Linked DNA regions of Kluyveromyces lactis. The protein of the gene in region 2 interacts with the protein of the main gene of each other region in a biochemical or structural test. Links are inferred from orthologs where the notes say so. Each region holds a gene or a part of one and is shown on either strand. Other genes may lie near its edges. The genes, in order: IME2 and KLLA0_F18216g.

Evidence for each region.
Region 1: of the proteins of KLLA0_F18216g (region 2) and IME2, one has a biochemical effect on the other in vitro, tested with the Saccharomyces cerevisiae proteins (2 studies listed by BioGRID). The link is inferred for Kluyveromyces lactis from reciprocal best matches to the Saccharomyces cerevisiae genes RIM4 and IME2.

Annotation. Positions count from the first base shown.
Region 1 is NC_006042.1:262,833-267,287, reverse strand, and holds IME2 (protein kinase IME2), read right to left. Parts: upstream 2,960-4,455; coding exon 692-2,959; downstream 1-691. Other genes in the region: KLLA0_F02860g (NAD(P)/FAD-dependent oxidoreductase), read right to left, coding at 1-188. UniProt on the Saccharomyces cerevisiae protein: Protein kinase which is essential for the initiation of meiosis and sporulation.
Region 2 is NC_006042.1:1,676,442-1,680,603, forward strand, and holds KLLA0_F18216g (uncharacterized protein), read left to right. Parts: upstream 1-1,289; coding exon 1,290-3,416; downstream 3,417-4,162. Other genes in the region: NPR3 (Npr3p), read right to left, coding at 3,858-4,162. UniProt on the Saccharomyces cerevisiae protein: Positive regulator of sporulation-specific genes and of sporulation. Required for premeiotic DNA synthesis and meiotic chromosomal segregation. May act in a nutritional signaling pathway.

The DNA.
Region 1 (4,455 bases), about 1.4 Mb from region 2:
AGTGCAGCGTAGACTTCATCGTTGTACTCTAGTCTAACAATTTTATTATAATCACAGGACGCACTTAACTGCGATGGAATTTGAAACTTATCAACCACCACAACTTTATATTTGGAACGAGCCAATTGCACAGCAGTACTTAATCCAAATATACCCGCGCCAACAATGACAACATCATAATTGGACATTTCCGGTTCGCTGCCTGTCTAATGTGAGGAAAGCTGTATAGTTGAATATATTATCTATGTTCTTTCTTAACCGAAGTTCTTCTTTATAAAGACTTTGAAGTACAATGTAAAGTTGATGGCTCGAAAGATTTTGAATCATCGGACCTCGGAGCTGATAGGAACAGTTTACCAAGAAAAAAAAAAAAAACTTGAGATAGTAAACAAAGACAGTAAGGATAATAGTGTACATAAGAGGTAAATCAAGTAGAAGTACCATGTTATAGAGTGAAAGAGTTGTCGGCATTTCTGTCCTGTATCCAACAAGTTATAAAGGAAATAATAGAAGCAAGTTATGTTAAAACTTATGAGCTAGCAGGTACAAAAGGTGAATATGTGTGTGTGTGTGTGTGGATATTATAAACGGTATAAATGAATGGGAAGAGGACCAGGTAAAGCGTTGTTGAAAGAAATTTCAACGAGTAGAACTGAAAGAGAGGAACAGCCTGCTGTTCTTTGTTCTACGATCAGAAACTTAATCCATCTTGGAATGTATGATTGTGGGAGTTAGAGGTTTGAATCAGGTTTTGAGATGCATGTTCCGATGGATCTAAAAGACAATCTAAAACTCTTTGCTGTACTGCCCTCTCCAGCAGATTTCTTGGGATCTGTTCTTGTAGATCAAGTGAATCGTCTATTGCCATTTGATCTGATAGTGTAGGACCCGCTGGTCCATTCGAATGCATGTAATTACCTTTGTTTTTGTTAAGTGGTAATTTCTTAGCCATCATATCCTGATAATAGTTTAGAAGACTATCTGCATCATCTTCGTCTTCTCCTTGATTGGAGATCTTCATCTTATCAACGGCAACTTCATTGTTTTCATCTTTGTCGGTCGCTCTAATTTCATGTTCCAAGTTCTCATCAGTATCAAATTCGTCCAACACCTGAATCCTATAATTCTCATGGTCCATGTCAATCGAATCATGTTCATCGTCATCGTCATCAACATCCAGAGTTGGTGGGTTCATCTGATTTGTGGTGTCTTGATAAAGCTCTATTTTGTCATTTAATTCCTTAGAAATTTGATCAGATCCTGTCATAGTCTCCATGCTATCATCCAGCTCAATAGTGAATACCTCATTATCATTGTTGGCATGTCCTATGAGATTTATATCAGGAATACTGTTACCATTAGCGTTTGTAGAGCTATCTAGCCTCTCGTTGTGAGCATTTACCTGTTGTTCCTGCTGTTTTTTTTCTACAATTCCTTGATTCTTCTGGCTATTTGTATTCGTGTTAACACTAGTAAGGATTTTCTCATCATTGTTTGTATTTGGATTGATGTTAACGTGGTTTTTCTGCGTGGAAAATTTGAACCATGAGGCAACTCCTCCTCTTCGCGGTTGCTGTTGGCTTTTATCTGTTACACAATTCATTTGATTGTTCTTTTGAACCTTTGGTAACTTCTGTGGAGAGTTAAAACTAGGAACAATGCCCAATTCCGGGTTATGTGGTAGTCCAGAAAGAATACGACTCCATTGGTTTGATATTGATGGATTTGCTGCAAGTTTATTTGCCAAAGCTGTATTATCCTTATTTTTGGATGCGGTTCCGTTATTTGTCTTTGCCAAAGATGCTTCTCTCATCACGTATTCCTTGAAGTATGGCAATGCACATATTTCGTTTGCAGTAGCCCTTTCACTTGGATTCCACTTTAGGCAAGATGTAACCACATCATATAGATCTTCCAATTGTGGGTTTGGTAGAACATCCCTTATCGTTTTCCCTTCTACGTATGGGAATTCATAGTTCAAAGCTTGGTATAATGGTTTTGAATCCAGCCATGAACCCCCAAAGTGCTCCTTTCCATTGATAGAATGATCTGGGGAGCCCAATAAATCTAGAATCCTCCATATTTGATCGGTTTCGTCAGAACCGGGAAATAGTGGTGAAAAGGTGGCTAGTTCGACAACAACACAACCATACGCCCAAATATCCAACGGTTTGGAATAGTATCCTTTTCTAAGAAGAATTTCTGGTGACCTATACCAACGGGTCGACACATAGGTGGTATAAGGTGATCTGTTATTCACATGTCTTGCCAAACCGTAATCAGCCAATTTCACCACGTAATTATCCGAATAATTATCATCTTCCAACCATTTCTTGCTGAAGTACCTATGAGATGGCGATATCAAGATATTCTCCGGTTTGATATCTCTATGGAAAAAATCGTGATCATGAATATGTTTAATTCCTGCTAATATTTGGAATAATATCGACCTCAAAGTAGGTAGGGAAAACACTCTTCTTTTCCTATGTTTCATCAATTGATAAATGTTCTGCTCCATGCATTCCATTACAATGTGAAGGTGATACAAAGAATCATCAATGAACATCTCGTATATGGTAACCAAATTTTTGTGTGCAGGAATTTGCAATATGAATTTGATCTCTCTGACTCTTGTATAGTCATGCAATGTTGGTAATCTATTCATCATTGTTTTGATTGCCACTATACCCTTTTTCTTATAGTACCAGTTTTCTTGTTCGACGTTTCTGATAAGAGTTTGATCCATCAAAGTTTCTGGGTACATTGAGGAAATTTGGGTGGCTGAACTGTTCATATCGTACATTGTCTCGGCCAATGTCACAGATCCGAAGGATCCTTTCCCCAATTCCTGAATTACGTTATATCTAGCATCGATATTCTTGAGCGGAATATAGAATGGAGGGTTATTAACATCTGGGGGTATGAAGGAATCTGCTGTGGTCAAAGTTAAAGCTGGCATTTTGTTCTTCTTTGCTTTATTGAAGTAGTTGATTGACAAATATTCTAGTGAATTTTATTTTAAAATGTAACGATTAATCTTGTGTTTTAAGATTCAATTACGCGGTAATAAATTAGAAGCACTTTTTTTTTGGTTGATTTTATAACTAATCTTATGCTTTTTTTGTGTCGGCTTTTATTACAGGATTCCTAAAACTGACACCTATTGGAGTGTTTCGTTTTGTGTCTTCTGAGTGCCGTTTTTGCCTTTTTGTACCGCTCTCTTTATTCTAACTTTTTTAGAAAAAAAAAATTTATCGAATGTCTGAAATCTCTGAAATCTGACACCTTAGATAATGCTGTATAGGATAGAATCGAGAAAAATAGAAAAACAGAAAAACAATAATCCTGATATATTAACACTCTCTTAATATGCAGTTTCAAAATGAAACTCAAACAACGATAATACCTTTGATCTCAAAAAGTGAAAAGGCGATGCTGTGTCTAGTTGTTATATACTAAAACACTTTTTCAATGTAAAACTTCAAAACAGAACAACAGGAGCTTCAGTTAGCCACTATCGATCCTAGTAAAAGTAAGTGTGAAATTTGTTCCTTCTGCTGCAAATATGCATGTGGTTTCCTTCGTTCACAATTGATACATAACTTAAAAAGATACACATAACTGACAGCAATACGGTAATTAGAAGATGAGAACACAAAAAGATTCAAAATTAAAGGAGATCCTTTGAATAACGCATCCTTTATATATTCCACAAAAGAATTCCAACATGTCGGCGCCTAATTCTGGTGCAAAGGATGTATTCTTCTTTTCAGCAATAAAAAAAAAAATCCAGATCTACAAGCTGATAAGTGTTCCTGTACAAGGCGATAAATCCATGTATAGCGGTATAGGGGAGGGGTGAGTCTACGATAAGGGAAACTCAATATACAAACCATTAAAAATCTAATTTATTAATTGATTCTCCATATACTTTAAAATGATCGGATTGTACCCCTCCAAATATTACCGGGCACGAACAACTTCTAGAGAGTTAGATTAAGGGGAAGAAAGGTTCGGCAAGATTGGCTACGGGAATTAAACGGGACAGGATGGGAGCGGAAGATATGTACATACTAACCTATGTATTAATAGATCAATCGAATAATTTGGATATAAAGGGGTTAAGTACAGGCACATTTACCGAAAATGCAGCATTTGCCGAATTCTGCAGTGTAAGCGCCGAAAAGATTGGGGCCCACTAGAGATTCTGCTAAGAAGTACCGACAAAAATTTAAGTATACTAGTAATTTATATATGACCCAATATGGCGCACCTATTGCACGTCATGATGTGAGTGGTAAACATTGCGATCGCTTCTGACCATAGTTCTCCCTTCCCCACAGTTTGGCTACAACAACTGAAAGGAAAATTTTTCAAGAAAATATGGCGGCTAAACTTACCGATATAGATAATACCGAATTTCCTTTAATAGCTTCAGTAGAAACGCCCTGCCCC
Region 2 (4,162 bases):
ATCTGAAGCATTGGCCGATTTCATCATCTGATATTCTTTCTACGACGACTCTATTAGTTTCGCTGAAATCCTTTTCGGCTTCTGAGAACAGTCTCTACAGTTCTATTTTCAGATTTTTACCCGATTTGGCTTCGTTTGGTACTTTTTTTTTTAGCAGCCAATGCAAGTTTGAACTGGAAAAAGACCGTTCAAAGAGTCACAAGATAATACAGGGACAAAATATTCAACAAAGGAGCATTCTGAACTTTTGAAAGATAGTTTTATTTCAAAACTTGCCTCCACACAATTGCAAAACATTATTATATCCCTGTTTTTTATTATATCCAGTTTTCATATTTTTGTTTTGAACTCGTACACATATCAAACAGTGAAAACTGCACTCAAAATATAATAACCGATCAATTATAAATTGATTTAAGCTGCAATACCTTTCTCCCTCATTGTGTTCTCCTTCCTATCTTTACACAATATCTTTATTATCTTGTGTTTTATTAGCTGTTCTGATTCTCCTTCCTTCTCCTTCAATCAAATATTAATATTGAGGAGAGGAAACGAACCCATAATCCAATAGATCACCGACATAAGGCAAAAGTACACTCGCACGTTACAAGACTGTTGACCATACCGTACGAATAAAGGAGCACATTGTTTTATTCCATTACAAATTCCGAGATTATATCGCCTAGAAATAAAAGTAGGGGGCTATCTGGACATATTTATACTATTTGTCCACTTGTTTTTTCCCTCTCTTGGCCAGGTCACTTTGCCGCAGTACTTGAAAATTAAGACAAATTTTTTTTTGAGAAATAAAACCGGAGCTGAAGTTTCAGAGGAAAAGCGCATATTCCCCCCCAAAGTGAGAAAAAAATTGCACGATTTTCACGACGCAAGAAGATCCACGGCAAAAGGTTTTCTATTTCTCGGGATACAATATCTTTCTATCACCTCCATTCTCCGAACAAACAGGGCAAATCATAGATCGTTTTAAATAGGGTTTGTGACCAATATTTTCTCCACAGCGTGCCATATCAATAACGTTGCTCAGGTCAAATTATATTAAGAAGGCTAAATCATAACTAGCTGCTTCGAACCCACAGATTCATCGAACCGTTTTGATCAAAACAGTTTCTTTGTTCTGAAGTTTGTCATTTGAGGAATCAAAATTTGTCACATCACTATTGATTCATCCTTTTTACAGATCTGACTTTTTTTTCGTTTTTTGCACAGAGGAGGAAAGCCGAAAACCTTAATAGTGCCTAACGTCTAAAAAAAGAAAACAACAAAGAGTAATGTCATCCAATATGTCGAAAAACATCAACGAGAGTTTTAAAGACCGTATTGTGATTAATGATTCACCCAATGAGTCAGGTGAAATATTAAGGCAAAGGTCGAATGAAACTGAAAACCAAACCAAAAATAAAGAGGAAATTTCTTCAGATAAACCTGTCATCAATTTAGAAAAGGAATTGACTGCTCTTAAAATCGACCGTCAATCATTGTTAGATGATAATTTAACAAACTTGCTGCCAGAACAGCTTTCTGAAATAGCAAGTGAATCAGAAACAGATTCAGATGAGGATACTACTAATTTGTTGGATGAACCGTCTCCAAGATCCTCTGATGACCCTTCCTTTTCAAGACCATCGTCTTGTATTTTCGTTGCGTCTTTAGCGGCCACTCTTAGTGATTCCGAACTCAACGCATCCGTGACAAAAGAGTTTGCGAAATATGGTAAAATTGTGTCTGTGAAAGTATTGCGTGATCCAGCAAACAGGCCTTACGCATTTGTTCAATATGCATCAGACGATGAAGCATTGAATGCGTTATCTCAAGCTCAAGGTACAACGTTAAACAATAGAAATATTCGTTGTGAAAGAGCAAAGGTCAACAGAACTGTATTCATCTCGTCAAGTTTTGCTAATCCACTAGAGGGAAAATTAACTGTTGAAAAAGTGGTAGATTTGATGAGTAAATTTGGGGAATTGGAACAAGTTGTCCCTAGCAGAGACCAAATGTATAAGAAAAATTATTATCCAAGTGAGGTAGCAAACTCTTGGTTTATCCAATACGCTTATCGGGACGATGCGATTAGAGCATATTTGCAAATGAAACTCAATTACGAATACATGGTGGAATGGGCACAAAATGTCGATGTTCCTCCAAGGTTCAATTTGCTACTTTCAAAGGCTAAAATTTGCGAAAAGGAACGATTAGAAAGAGAACGATTCGGTAAGCAACCAATTTTCATCGATAACAAGTCCATATTCATAGGACAATTGAATTTTAAAGTTACTAAACCATTACTTTTGGAAAGGTTTTCAAAATATGGAGAAATCGACAATTGCAACTTGATCCACAAGCAGGAACAATTGAAATGCTTTGCCTTTATCAAGTACAAGACTCCGGCATCAGCTGCAAAAGCGTTGGAAAGAGAGAATCATTCAATATTCGTGGAGAAAATACTGCATGTGCAGATCAGAGAGGTATCTAATTCAAGGCGTAGTTCAATTGATTCCAATAAGTCATTCCAGGGGCCTCAGTTGAACTTGGCACCTCCGCCTTTGAATATAGGAAGGAGAGCAAGTACAGGGTCTTTTTCAAAATACATGTATCCATTACCAAATCATTTACAACCAAATCTGCCATCTCATTATGTGTATGCTACGATACAAGAACCAAGGAGAAATACTATAAACTCAGGCTCATCATCCTACCACAACCATAATCATGTTTTCGTTGGCAATACTGGTTCACAAGGTTTTTATAATGAAAATGGTAACCAGTATGTTTATGGCACAGAAAGCAAAAATTATCCCAACAAAACAGACAATGGAGTTGAAAAAGAAAATGCTTATCTAGAAGGTCCTCAGCAAATGCATAGTACCCACTTCAATAGGTCAAAAGACGATATCGAAAATAGCACAATTGAAGAAGAAGATGATGAATATGAAGTCGATGAAGACAATGATGCAGAGGACACACATTTCTTAGAACACGAGTCCAACTCATCATTCACAACTTTCAGCGCAGGCACTGGAACGTTCAAACATAACAATGCGCATAACACTGGTTCTTATCAAAAGAATCATAGTTACAAGAAGCGAAGAAATGTAGATGCACCAAGGCATGGTAGGATGGATCCAAATTTCTACTACGGCCCGCCAGTGTACTACCCAATGGAGTACTGTCCACCTTCTGGTAGCCCCGTTGGCCCTCCGCCCTCTCACTTGATTCAGCCGGGCGCTCACTTGACGGGACAGTGTCCACCTTCTCAACATTCCCCATTCTTTTATTACTTCCCTATGCCACCTCCTACACCGACATTTACTAATCCATTCCCACACGAACACCCTGGCGGTATGAACTATTTGGATAATTCTGTCTCTGGACATGATAAAGCAGACCTCGACTATTGAATATGTCATTTTCTTTCTACTTTTTTTTAGCGTAATCATTGCACTATCTTAGGCCCTCCTAGTGATTAACTCTTTTTCACCTTCTTTTTAGTCAACCACAGGGCATATACTCGGCACCGTCTTATAATATGTTCCCCAGTGGCGTTTCATTTGTACATGTCCTTCTCTTTTAGATAAATAAACTTAAGATATCATCTTAAACTTTACATGCATGGCATATATATATAGATATGTTTTCTGTTCGAGCTTCTCCGGAATTACAAACTGTTATGGTTACAACATGCAAAACAAAAAATATAAAACACAGTGAATTGATTAGTTATGACATAAAGTTATGCAACTCCAAAAATGGCTTATTATATAGTACTTAATTATTATGCATTGACAAAATCCTGTGCGTAGAATCGATTAGAAGAATAACAATGTAAGGGGATAGGGCATTTACCAGTGTTTTACTTCAACGATGTACTTACCTAAGGCCTGAAGCAATCTTTTTATCTCATTTTTAGGAATACCTTCCTTAATCATAATGTACTCCAAAGAAACCTTCCCATTAAAGTATTTCACCACTTGTCTAAATAGCGTTTGAAGATCAGTAGGTAATGCCTCAGCACATTTGTACAACCATCTCTTTTCTAATGCAGTATTACGTTCTGGTTCAAGAATTATAGTGAAATCATTATCGTTGATCATCTCCAAATCATCAAACTCACTGGAGTTATAATTTTCACCTCCAGTAACAAAAT